Macaca mulatta: one gene and its partners. The protein of the gene in region 3 purifies or fractionates together with the protein of the main gene of each other region. This does not show direct contact. Links are inferred from orthologs where the notes say so. Each region holds a gene or a part of one and is shown on either strand. Other genes may lie near its edges.

Evidence for each region.
Region 1: the proteins of KAT2A (region 3) and TAF9B purify together in Homo sapiens (affinity purification with mass spectrometry; 4 studies listed by BioGRID, with this or other methods). This does not show direct contact. The link is inferred for Macaca mulatta from reciprocal best matches to the Homo sapiens genes KAT2A and TAF9B.
Region 2: the proteins of KAT2A (region 3) and TRIM22 purify together in Homo sapiens (affinity purification with western blotting; 3 studies listed by BioGRID). This does not show direct contact. The link is inferred for Macaca mulatta from reciprocal best matches to the Homo sapiens genes KAT2A and TRIM22.

The regions. Positions count from the first base shown.
Region 1 is NC_133426.1:84,382,190-84,386,740, forward strand, and holds the start of TAF9B (transcription initiation factor TFIID subunit 9B), read right to left. Parts: upstream 2,827-4,551; 5' UTR 2,799-2,826; coding exon 2,748-2,798; intron 2,120-2,747; coding exon 2,038-2,119; intron 1,290-2,037; coding exon 1,153-1,289; intron 1,075-1,152; coding exon 940-1,074; intron 180-939; coding exon 104-179; intron 1-103. UniProt on the Homo sapiens protein: Essential for cell viability. TAF9 and TAF9B are involved in transcriptional activation as well as repression of distinct but overlapping sets of genes. May have a role in gene regulation associated with apoptosis.
Region 2 is NC_133419.1:69,875,159-69,879,659, forward strand, and holds the start of TRIM22 (E3 ubiquitin-protein ligase TRIM22), read right to left. Parts: upstream 2,827-4,501; coding exon 2,404-2,826; intron 1,815-2,403; coding exon 1,719-1,814; intron 755-1,718; coding exon 524-754; intron 1-523. UniProt on the Homo sapiens protein: Interferon-induced E3 ubiquitin ligase that plays important roles in innate and adaptive immunity.
Region 3 is NC_133421.1:66,453,682-66,457,433, forward strand, and holds part of KAT2A (histone acetyltransferase KAT2A), read right to left. Parts: intron 3,736-3,752; coding exon 3,629-3,735; intron 3,264-3,628; coding exon 3,153-3,263; intron 3,060-3,152; coding exon 2,923-3,059; intron 2,842-2,922; coding exon 2,633-2,841; intron 2,407-2,632; coding exon 2,280-2,406; intron 1,118-2,279; coding exon 1,007-1,117; intron 1-1,006. UniProt on the Homo sapiens protein: Protein lysine acyltransferase that can act as a acetyltransferase, glutaryltransferase, succinyltransferase or malonyltransferase, depending on the context.

The DNA.
Region 1 (4,551 bases), on a different chromosome or scaffold from region 3:
CACAAGAATTTCTGATTCACTTTTTGACTTGCATTATAGTTCAAAACCAAGTGCTGAGGCACTGCTTTACCAGCCAGAAATGCCATTGTCTCCTCTCACTTACCTATAGTAGGAGTAGTAGGTTTGCTACTAACAGCACCAACACTTAATCGTGGAACTAGTCTCCCTTGGTTAGGTCCCTAGGGGATTTAAAAAGCAAATTAATGTTAAGATGTGACACCTAACTTTACCAGGAATGAAATTAGGATTGCTGATGTAAATGATCATGGATAATCCATGGCAAGAAAGTCCTGTTTTTGTTCTCTCAGTGTTCTAAATCCAACATTTAATCTGGGTTTTGCATAAACATATATACATGTCTTTATATAAAAATAGATATGAATACATATATAATCTTATGCAGTATTAAAGTTTAAGATAGAGTCTTATTTGAATGGGGATAACAGCTAACTACTTTGTGATTTGTAATCTTAACTAGTCAATTTCTTAACCCAAAAAAGAATAAAACTCTTATAGTGGAACTTCAGAAAAAAAAGGCAGCCTATTATAGGGAGAACTGTTTCAGTGGTGGGAGAGCTTTAGGTCATATTTCAGAAAGCTGGCCCAATTCCTGATGGTATCATTCCCTCTGTTATTAGGCCTCACTAAAAAACTAAGATATAGTGGAAAGATTGGGAGTTACGAGGTTTGGAATCAGTCCTAGCTTGGCTACCAACTTCACAAATGAGTTCAGGCCCCGCTTCCTGATGTGAAAAATGACTGTTGAATTAAATGAGCACTAAAGGTCCATCTAGCTCAAAAAATTTTTAAAATTAAAAAAATTCTAGTAAGTTATCTTAACCTTTAATCTACTATACTAGCTACAGGAATTTGCTTTTCACAAAGTCCCCTATCATATTCCACCTTTTAAAAAAAGAAAAGTTGACTAAAATTTCTTACCTTTTTAATTAAGGACTTCAGCCTATAGTTTGGAGCTGTTAAGCAGTATCTATCAGGTGGCAGTCTAGGTCCTGCATATGGCTTAATCAGTGGCAAAGGGGTTTGATTTTTCTGCCTTGCGATATCCAGTAAAAACTTAAAAAAAAAATCCTTATTAGAACTACAGTTTAAAAAATTTTAAGTAAAAATAACTTCAAATCCAAGTTTGCTCACATCTCTTGGGGGAGGAGAGGTAAAAGATTGGTCAGCACGACACTGGATTGCCAGTCTCACATCATCTGCATCAACGTTAGGTTTCTTAGCATGGCTCGAATAAATTTTTGCATCATCCAGAATTGTAGTCACATAACCTTTAAGAAAAAAACAATCTTTTCTTAAACATATGAAGACAGCTTAATATTTATGGCTACTTAAAAAAAGTTTCCACTAATTTGTAGACAGTTTATAAATTTTGTGGTTTTTTGTAGAGACAGGGTCTCACTATGTTGCCCAGGCATAACTCAAACTCCTGGCCTCCCGCCTCAGCCTCCCGAAGTGCTGAGATTACAGGTGTAAGCTACTGTGTCCAGCCTAAATGCTGATTTTAATAGGTAATTGTCCTGTCTATATGATCAGTTTTAAACAGATATCACAGTATGAATACTACTGTCCCCTAGCATGAACTCCTTTTTAGCTCTTTAGGCTGAATTCTACGATACTGTTAACATAATTTGGTTGAAAATGTTCTTACAAGGCTGGGCGCGGTGGCTTACGCCTGTAATCCCAGCACTTTGGGAGGCCGAGATGGGCGGATCACTTGAGTCAGTAGTTCGAGGCCTGCCTGGGCAATATGGCGAAACTCCCTTTCTACTGAAAATACAAAACTTAGCCGGGCATGGTGGCAAGTGCCTGTAGTCCCAGCTCAGGAGGTTGAGGCATGAGAATCGCTTGAACCCAGGAGGCGGAGGCTGCAGTGAGCCGAGATCCCGCCACTGCCCTCCAGCCTGGGCAACAGTGAGTCCCTGTCTCAAAAAAGAAAAGAAAAGAAAATGTTCTTACAATAAAAATATCTTTTCTAGTTCACAAGTTAGGCAAGTTTTTGGTGTTTCATTAACTTACGGAAAGCAAATTCCAACATTTGATTTATAACCCTTGGTTCATACTCTGTGATTCCCATATCCTTCAGGATCTGTGCCATCACCTGTGGATTCAAATAAAAACGCCAGATGCAGAATTTGGTACTGGAAATTAAGGCTGGACAGAAGGGTAGTATTTATATTTATGATACAAGGTTCCCCTTCTTTGGGCTCCAAAGTCCTACTCACCCTTGTCCTCCCAAGTGAGTCAGTGATCACACCAAATCGCATAGTATGCTTTTGCAGAAAACTTTTATTTTTATTTTTTGGCGGGGTTGGGGGCGGGGTGGGGGGCAAAGAGAAGACAAGTTGGCTTCCCCAGCAGAGGTAGGGATAGGTCCAGCTGGTTGTCATTTTTGGCTGTGGCGGCGGGATAAGCTAGCATCAGAACCCTGGACGCAGAGTCAGGGCTGGCAGATAGGTAGAGACGAGGGGGCGGCAGGGGCCCGAAGCCCAGGACACAAAGCTGGGCAGCCGTTCCGCAAGCTCCGCTGGACCACGACCCTCTGGCAGAGCTTGGCCCGAGCGGCGAGATAGGGGCCCGGGGGCATCCCCATCACCCTCTCCTCCTGACGACCCTGACCAGACTGAAACGAGCGTGCGAGCCCTCCCTCAGGCCCTCAGCGTGGCCCTGCCTCGCAGGTCCCTGGCTGCACCTGGCTTCGCGCTCCGCCGCTCATCCTTCCCACTTACCAAGGCATCTCTCGGAGCGTTCTTGGGAGGCGCCATCTTGCCCGACTCCATATTATCCAGCCACTCGTCATCGGAGGACAGAGGAGAGAGAGAGGAGCTCGCGGGCTCCTCGCTCAGGCTCCACCCCTGCGGGGAGAGGGAGGAGGGAAGCGGAAGGCGGGGTTACGTGCCAGCCGCGGGGGGCGGGAGTTTCAGCAAGACGCTGGCCAGGGGAAGAGACGCGCTCGGGCGCCGGAACTCAGGATTGGAAGAAGCAGGTAATCCTTCCCCGTGGAGCCTGCTGGGGGCTAAAAGAAGTAGAGGAGCCGAGAAGCTCGACTCCCCAGAGTTGTTCTCCGGCAAAGGGCACCAAATGGGCCAACCTCACCTTTGCGGGGGTCCCTCCTCACACCTCCATGGCTACCACCTTAGCCCCTTTCGGCTTCCCGAAATTCCAGACCCAGTCAATGTTAGGGCTGCTTGGTCCAACACAGTTGGACTCGTTACATTTGAATGTCACATCACCAACGAATACATTTTTAGTATAAGTATATCCCAGATTTGCACAGGCCATACTTATGCTACGAAATAATTGTTCTGATGTTCATATTTAACCGGGTGTCCCGGATTTTTATTAGCTAAATCTGGCAATCCTACCCAATAGCTTGCTGTCCACACAGGATTTTCGTTAGCCCTTGTCACACTCAAAGCCCTACCGTGGCTGCCCATTTCACACTGATGAAAAACTAAAGCCTTCACTCTGCCCGTTAGAGACCCTCTAGCCACTCTTGGCCCCGAGCAGCTTACTGTCTCCCCGCTGAGGCCAACACAGGACCCTTCCTTGCCTCCCAGTTTACACCCTTCCCAGCCCCTCCCCACAGAACTGCCCGAAGGACTCTCGTGAGAACCGACCATCTAGCCCCAGTGACTTTAAAAAAAAGTGCATCAGTTAACTATCTCTGGCTTAAAATGTCGCAGATAACTTACTCTTAACCTACACAAAAACCAACGCCCTAGGATTCTCCATCTCGGGAACAGGAACTCACCCAGGCCAGAAACGGAGCAGGCAGCCATGTTGGTGCTTTCCCTCACAATCCACATTCAATCTAGCAACAAGTGTTGTCCAGGTGACCTCCCAAAGTTCTATCCATGTCTCCACATCTCCATCCAGTGCTACTATGCTAACGAGTCCAAGCCAACATCCTTACTCACCAAGATTACAGATACATGCTCCCCAAATAGTGTCCCCCGACATTCCTTACACAGCTAGACGGACCTTTCGGTCATAAATCCAATCACTGTTTTCCTTAAAACCCTCCAGCGGCTCTCCTCACAAACACATACACAAATACATACTAATTTCCCAGTCTTAGTGGGCCCTTCAGTTTTGCGGAGCAGCTCACCTCATCAGACTCATCAGAATCAGCCGTCCGCCTGGCCGCCATCTTGAAGTTTGGGCAGGAACCCCCAAGAACCAAGTGTTCTCAATACATTGTTTCGAGTGAGAGCACGTGCCCCCACGCTGAGCTAGTGCCTTTCCCCACTCTTACTGTGGCCAACCCCTCTGCAGAACTAACAACAGTCGCTTGCTTTTGAATATTTGCAAGGTACATTTAAAAATAGGTGGAGGCCAGGCACGGTGGCTCACGCCTGTAATGCCAGCGCTTTGGGAGGCCGAGGCGGGCGGATCACTTAACGTCAGGAGTTTAAGATCGGCCTGGCCAACGTGGTGAAATCCTGTCTCTGCTAAAAATACAACATTTAGCCGGGCGTGGCGGCACAAGCCTATAGTCTCAGCTACTCAGGAGGCTGAGGCAGGAGAATA
Region 2 (4,501 bases), on a different chromosome or scaffold from region 3:
AGCAATAAGAAAGAGCAAAATGCTGATACATACTGCAATATAAATAAACCTCAAAATATTATGCTAAATTAAAGATGCCAGATGCAAAAGACTACATGTTGTATAATTCAGTTCATATTGAAATGTCCAGAGAAGCCAATTCTATACAGACAGAAAACAGATTGGTTGCCAGGAGGTGGAGGTAGAAGCAGATATTGACTGTAAACAGGCATGAGAAATGTTTTTGATGTGATGGGGAAGTTCTAAAACGAATTTGCTCATGGTACAAAGAATCTTCTCTCCAAGCTCAAATTTTTACACTGCCTCTCATAAGTAAATAATAAAGGGAATTTCCTTTGCCACTCATACACTTAATTATCTCTGTGACTCCTGAAATGATGGGCATAAAAGGGGCACTGCCAGGCCAAAGGAACCATTTAATGTCACCACACAGAAGAAAGCCTAGAGACTGGGAAGGGAAGGAAAATCAGCCTCTGTGTTTTTCCCCTAATCTCATATGTAGGTGCTCCATCCCAAGTCTTACCTGCAGCATCTCTATTGATGACCCCCTCAACCTCCGCTGGAGATCTGAGATGAGCTTGCTGGCATCCTGCCTCTGCTGGACCAGCTGGTCTCTAGCTGCTGCCAGGTTATCCAGCACATTCACCTCACCTTCCTCCAGCTTTTGCAGCTCTCTCTGCTCCTCACTGTCCAAGATGACTCTCATTTCATTGAACCCTTTCAGAATCTTCTGTCTCTCGAGCTGGATATAATTCTTGAATGAGAAGAGAAGAGAAAGAGGCAGTCAGTCTGGCTGGTTGAAGGCCTGCTTTGTATGAGCCTGGGAGCCAGGATAAGAACTGTTTTCCTCAGGGAGTTCTCAAAAGGAATACGAGGCAAAAGCCAATACACAATTTCTGGTGAAGCCATGCTTTTCTATTTTTTAACCGGAACTCCTTCCAAAGCAATACACTCAAGTCTTTTATTGAGGCCTAATCTGAGACAAAATGTGATGCTTGGGTGAGGCTTGGATTATAGACACCTGTCCTGAACAACCTTGCCTTTCTCTCTCTTAAATCCCTTTACCTGGTCGGGCACAGTGGTTCACGCCTGTAATCCCAGCACTTTGGGATGCAGAGGTGGGCGGATCATGAGGTCAGGAGATCAAGACCATCCTGGCTAGCATGGTGAAACCCCATCTCTACTGAAAATACAAAAAATTAGCCGGGTATGGTGGCACGTGCCTGTAGTCCCAGCTACTTGGGAGGCTGAGGCAGGAGAATCGCTTGACCTGGGAAGGCAGAGGTTGCAGTGAGCCGAGATCACTCCACTGCACTCCAGCCTAGATGACAAATCGAGACTCTTGTCTAAAAAAAAAAAAAAAAAAATTCCCCTACCCAAACCACCTAAACAGGGAATCCTGGGTCTTTCCTCAGGTTGTTTACTGGAAGGATTGGAGCCTCAAACTTGATGACACAAATGGAACACAGGATTCACAGGAAGCATTTTCACAGGTATTTCCCTCCATGCCTTCACTTCCAAATATTGTGTTGATTTATGATATGTCTGCTCTCCAGCCCCCAAACTCCAACAGGGAAGGAATTAAATGAGACCTAATCATATGACTTCTATAACTGTTAATTCTAGCACAGCAAAGGGGAAGTGGTCTCCTTGTGATAGAGCCCAAGGTCCTGCCCAGATTCCTGTCTAATTATCCCTTAGGAGGTGTCTCCTCCTGCCTTCCAGACGGTTCTCTCTTGTCTGACGTCATCTTCCAGCTTCTCAGCTTCTTGATCCTCCTTTGTCAGCTTCTGCAGGGCTGCCTGCAGCTTTTCCTGTGAGAAAGAAATTATACCAGAGTAAAGTTATGAGTTTTCTCAGCACCTGGATAGAGGATAGCAAGGAAGAAATTGGATGGCTCTCAGAAGGGACTAGTTTACAGAAACAGTGAGGCTGGTGATTAGAACCTATGGCATGGGGGAAAATCTGAGGAGATGAACGTATTCTTTATTACTGGATGATGGAAGTTACCATCCCCTTATCAAGAGTAGCCTGATTCTTTTCCTAGAGAAAAAGCAGACCCTGCATTAAGGAAAGACTTCCTTTCATTGCCACTTTTGCCACATCTAACAAGACATGTTCTCAAAAACACCTTTCTTCTCGGAGTGGCAATTAAAGCTTATCTTACAAAGCAATTCTCCATTCATTCAACTTTTCCTTGCTAAAAAATGTACTCTTTTAAATAAAAGCAATGTGCAGCACTGTCCTTCAGGCTTCAGAAACTAAGTAAAGAGTTTGGAAAGAGATCACAGGGCTCTCAGTTCTATGGTGAAAAGGGGAATAAAGCAGGACAAAAAACGTGGAGATTTCACATCAGGTACCATTTCTGCTCTCTGCTTTCTCTTCCTCTACCTTGGAGCCTACCTGACATTCCTTGACCACCTCGTTTATGCGGAATGTTTGGTGACCTTGGTGTTCCTGAGACAGTTCACAAACCCAGCAAATGACTTTTCCATCTTCCTTACAGAAGATCTGGAGTTTTTTTCCATGGTGCTCACAGATGTCTCTCTTCTGCCCCTCCTGTGGGCTCATCTTGACCTCCTTGACTCTCTCAACTATGTTGGCCAGATGCCGATTAGGTCGGAGCTTCCCAGGCTGGAATCTGCTCTGACACACAGGACAGCTGCTTTCTCCTCTTGAGATGGTCACTGACTCCTTGATCTTTGCAGTGATGCAGGCTTGGCAGAAGCTGTGGCCACAATCCAGGCTCAGAGGTTCTGTTAGGAGCTCCAGGCAGATGGGGCAGGTCACCTCCTTCTCTATGTCTACCTTTACTGAGAAATCCATTGCACTGCTCCCTTGGCTTCTTTCTGTCTTGACTCTTGAACCTCTTGGTCAGAAAATCCTGCAGTGCTGGAAATGTTGAAGGGGACATGGTAAGAAAAGCGGGAATAGAAAGAATACTGCTTTTACAGAGATTTAGAACAGGACCAAAAATTAATATTTAACAGAGAAAGGAGAAAAGAAAGGCAAGAAGAATAAACCAATGACAGAATAAAATGGACTTTGTAGTAATTTGAAACAGTTTATTCTTAATTTTTGTCTCAGGACAAATTTCACCCCATCAAGGCAATTATTGTTATTTTCTCTTCTACTGGAGAGGACAAACTGAAGCTTTTCTACCAAGAGGTTCGTGTAACCCATCATTTATCCTGCCTTTTGTTCCCCAACCCAAAACACATTTTCCATGTTAAATGCACTAAGCACACCGCTGCCCCTGGGCTTTCGCACATGCTTTTCTCTCTGGATGACGTGATTGTATCTCTAATATTTGCATGATTCACTAATACTTGTGTATTTTTAAGCTACTGAGTTGTATTTACATAGCATCATACACTCTCATTTTTAAGTGTATAATGTGATAATTTCTACTAAATTTGTGGAACTATATGACTGTTACTGTAACACAATTTAAAATTATTTTTACCACCTGAAAAAAAAAAAAAAAAACCCTAATGCCGTTACTCCTATTCTGATCCCAAGCTCCAGACAATCACTAATATCCTTTGGGTTTTTAATCAATTGATAAAAATAGAATCATAATATATGGTCTTTGGTATCTGAATTATTTTATTTATACTGTTAAGGTTTATCTCCTCTGCTTTTTCCACATGTAAAAAACACCTCCTCAATTAAACTATCAAATCTATGACTCCTCAAGGCTTTTGCACTTGCTCCTCTCTCTCCATAAAATGATCCTTCCCCTGATGTTAGCAAGAGTCATTCTTAAATTTAATTCAATCTCTTAGATGTCCTCTTCTTAGAAGGACATACTATAACTTACTTATAGCAAAACCACCAGTAATATCACTCACTGCACATTTATTTTCTTATTTTTACTATGTAATATATAAGATTGTTCTTTAAATGTCTACTTCTTCCTCCTGAAAAGTAATCCATTCATAGACATGGGACTGTTTTTGTTCACTGATATGTCCTCTATACATAGAAGAGCGAATCACATACAGGAATAAAATGTTGAACGAATATTTAAAGCTACAACTTTCTTATCCCTCCATAGATGATTAGACCTTTGAATCAGATTTTCATCTTTTCTTTCCATCAATTAGCAGTTTCCCAATAGCTGAGCTTTGGGACCATGATTATGGTTTCCAGTGAAGAAGAGTTCACATCCTAACACATCTACCCATAGCAAGTCCTCCCATGACCTCACACTCACTCCCCAAAGACATACACACACACCCACACACCACTGCAACCACCACCACCGCCACCATCACAATAAGAAAATAATTTTATCATGAAGAATTTTATAACCAGTTACAATTTGGAAATAATTTTGACTTCTTTATTCTTCATACAAAACCCTTGAGAAAGAAGAATACTCCCTTTCTTCAGGTGTGTCAATAGAATTAAGTAACTTACAAAGATCACTCATTCTAATCTAATCGGTAGAGTAAGAGTGAATGTATTGTCTCCAAGGTCCTCCTTCAGAGTTCTC
Region 3 (3,752 bases):
AGCCTGCTCTACTGGCCCCCAGTTCCTCCGGCCTTCTCTACTGGCCCCCCCAGTTCCTCCAGGCTGCTCTACTGGTCCCCCAGTTCCTCCAGGCTGCTCTACTGGCCCCCCAGTTCCTCCAGGCTGCTCTACTGGCCCCCCAGTTCCTCCGGCCTGCTCTACTGGCCCCCCAGTTCCTCCGGCCTGCTCTACTGGCCCCCCAGTTCCTCCGGCCTGCTCTACTGGCCCCCCAGTTCCTCCGGCCTGCTCTACTGGCCCCCCAGTTCCTCCAGCCTGCTCTGACTCCCCAGTTCCTCTGGCCTTCTCTACTGGCCCCCCAGTTCCTCCAGCCTGCTCTACTGGCCCCCCCAGTTCCTCCAGCCTGCTCTGGCTCCCCAGTTCCTCTGGCCTTCTCTACTGGCCCCCCAGTTCCTCCAGGCTGCTCTACTGGCCCCCCAGTTCCTCCAGCCTGCTCTACTGGCCCCCCCAGTTCCTCCGGCCTTCTCTACTGGCCCCCCAGTTCCTCCAGGCTGCTCTACTGGCCCCCCAGTTCCTCCAGGCTGCTCTACTGGCCCCCCAGTTCCTCCAGGCTGCTCTACTGGCCCCCCAGTTCCTCCGGCCTGCTCTACCAGCCCCCCAGTTCCAGCCTGCTCTACTGGCCCCCCAGTTCCTCCAGCCTGCTCTACTGGCCCCCCAGTTCCTCCAGCCTGCTCTACTGGCCCCCAGTTCCTCCGGCCTTCTCTACTGGTCCCCCAGTTCCTCCAGGCTGCTCTACTGGCCCCCCAATTCCTCCAGCCTGCTCTACTGGCCCCCCAGTTCCTCCAGCCTGCTCTACTGGCCCCATAGGCCCCCATTCTCCCCTGGGGCAGTGGCAGCAGAGGAAAGAAGATAGGCATGGAGACTTTCCTGGCAGGTGTCAGGTGAAGTAGGGGACATAAAGGGACTCCTACTCCATCCACAGAGGGGCTGGACAGAATGACCCCAGGCTTCAGGCAAAGGACCAGTGTGGGATAAGGCTACGGGTCACCTGCTTTTTGAAGTAGCCGATGGCATACTCGTCCGCGTAGGTGAGGAAGTAGAGAATGTTGTGCTTGATATGATACTCCTTCAGGTGGTTCATCAGGTGGGTCCCATAACCCTGTGGGGGAGGGGAGCAGGACTCACCAGGAGCTGAGGATGGGCCTGGTGCTGGAGAGGTCTCAGAGCCCAGAGTGGAGCGGGTGGATTGGAAAGGAGGTGGGGAGAGGGAGAGCATCCAGGCAAAGAGGAAGAAAGGCAGCTGACAGAGGGAGGGGAGTTTATGGGGGAAAGTGAAAGGTAGAGGCTTTCTAAGCTCACTCTGGGCCAGGTGCAGTGCTTCCTGTTTTACAGACCGATTCTCAACCCCAGAGGCGAGTAGTACCACCTCTATTTTAGAAAAGAGAAAACTGAAACAGCTATGTTAGGAAATGCGTTCAAGGTCAGGCTGCCAGCCGTGGCAGGGCCGGGTCCAAACCCAACACAGGCCAGCAATTCCCAGTCCCTGGGCCTCAGAGTTGGGAGAGGAGGGAGAGGGAGTCACCAGAGGCCTGAGCAGGAGCAATGGCTCCCACACATCAGGGCCAACGATGCGCCACGCAGATCTGAGGTATGTGACACACAGAGCCAGCGACCCTACGAGGGGGTCTGTTGTAACAAAGGACAGAAGCCAAGGCTATCAGCATAGGACTACTGTAATAACGGTTAGTTCGGCTGGTCACCGTGGCTCACACCTGTAATCCCAGCACTTTGGGAGGCCGAGGCAGGTGAATCACTTGAGGTCAGGAGTTGGAGACTAGCCTGGGCAACATGGTAAAACCCTGTCTCTGCTAAAACACAAAAGTTAGCCAGATGTAATGGCGCATGCCTGTAGTCCCAGCTACTTGGGAAGCCAAGGCACGAGAATCACTTGAGCCTGGGAGGTCAAGGCTGCAGTGAGTCCTGATCATGCCTCTGCACTCCGGCCTGGCTGAGAGAGACCCTGTTTCAAAAAATAAATAAAAAATAAAAATTAAAGTAATTAATTCCCCCATGTATGTAAATGTTCTTGTGATGAAGAAAATCCTAGTCCACAGGTCACCAAAGCGTGGCCGCTTCTTGGGCTCTGTCTGTGAACAGGTGGTTTCCTAATCCACAGTTATCAAAGTACGGCTGCCACCTTGTGGGGATGTGAGGAACGGGCCACTAAGAGAAGAGCCAGGGGCTGCTGCATCCCACACCTCCCGCTGCTCCGAGCTGGCCCAAACTCCGGAGCGAGCCGTGGGCTGGGGAGCGGCACTCACCTTGACCTGCTCATTCGAGGTGACAGCACAGAAGACAATCTCCGTGAAGCCCTGGGTGGGAAACATGCGGAAGCAGATGCCACCGATGACCCGCCCATCCTTGATCAAGGCCAGAGTCTTGTGCTTCCTAAGAGAGAGGTGGGCACGTCACAGCCCCTGCCTGTTTCCTTCAGGTCCCCAGAGCCCTGGAAGTCTGAACTGTAGTCAGGGTTGGGCAGTGAGAAATAAGAATGATCAAAGGTTGAACTTCAGAAGTGGGGAGCAGGGGATCTCCAATTTTGAGGAGTCAAGAGGCCGAGGAGGAAGGGACCCGGGGGTCCTGCCCTGGGGGAGGGGCTCTCTGGGGGACGCACGGGTCAAAGACGAGGCGGGCGATATACTCCTTAGGCATGCGTGGCAGCTGGTGGGAAAAGACATTCTGCAGCCCCACGAGCCACAGCAACACCCGCCGGTTGGCCTTGGGCGTCAGCGAGTTGCCAATGACGTGGAACTCAATGATGCCACGGCGCTCCTCCAGGCGGGCTGTCTCATCCCGGGCCGCATTGGCCGAAAGCAGGCTCGTCTGGGCACAGAAGAGGGGCGGTGAGCTGGGGTTTCAGGTTGGTGGGGGTCCCCCAACTGGTCAGCAGGTCGGGCTGCCCACCTCAGGCCCCAGCATGGCAGCAGGGTCAGTGATGGTCAGCATGACCTCATTGACTAGCTCCATGGGGATGTCGCCCATCACACGGAGCCTCTTGGCATCCTCCAGGGTCAGGTTCTCCGGGAGCTTCCTCTTCTCGCCTATTGGGGAGGCAGGCAAGGTTGGTCAGGATCAGTAAAAAAAGGTTTGGGAAGGAGTGAATGATGGTCAGAGGTCAGGGATCAAGTATCTACCTGGCATAGGCTCGGCCCCTGCAGAATCCAGACTCAGAGAGCTGTTGCTGCCTCCGCCCATGCTGGGGCTGAAGATGGGGGTGCTGGGAACAACTGCTGCACTGACCGAAGCTGAGGAGAGAGAGAGAGAGGTCAGGGACCGGGGGACTGAAGCTGAGACAGAGAGAGAGAGAAGTCAGGGACCGGGGGACTGAAGCTAAGGGGAGAGAGAGAGAGGTCAGGGACAAGGGGACTGAAGCTGAGGAGAGAGAGAGAGAAGTCAGGGACGGGGGGACTGAAGCTGAGGAGAGAGAGGGAGAGAAGTCAGGGACAAGGGAGACAGAGAGAGAGAGAAGTCAGGGACGGGAGGGCTGAAGCTGGTGGCAGGTCCCTCAGTGGGATCCAGGGCCTCTGGCCCAGCTGAGCCCTCTTCCACCCAGGAGGCTTAGCTCAGCCAGGCAGGCCAGACACCCTACAGAGCATACCATGGCACATACCTGGCCGGGGCACCAGCTGTGTCCCCTCTGAGGGTGGCATGGTGAAGCCTGACTCCCAGATTGGAGAGTTTGCCCCATAGATCTCCTCCTCCAGCATGGACAGGAATCTGTAGGGAGGACACAG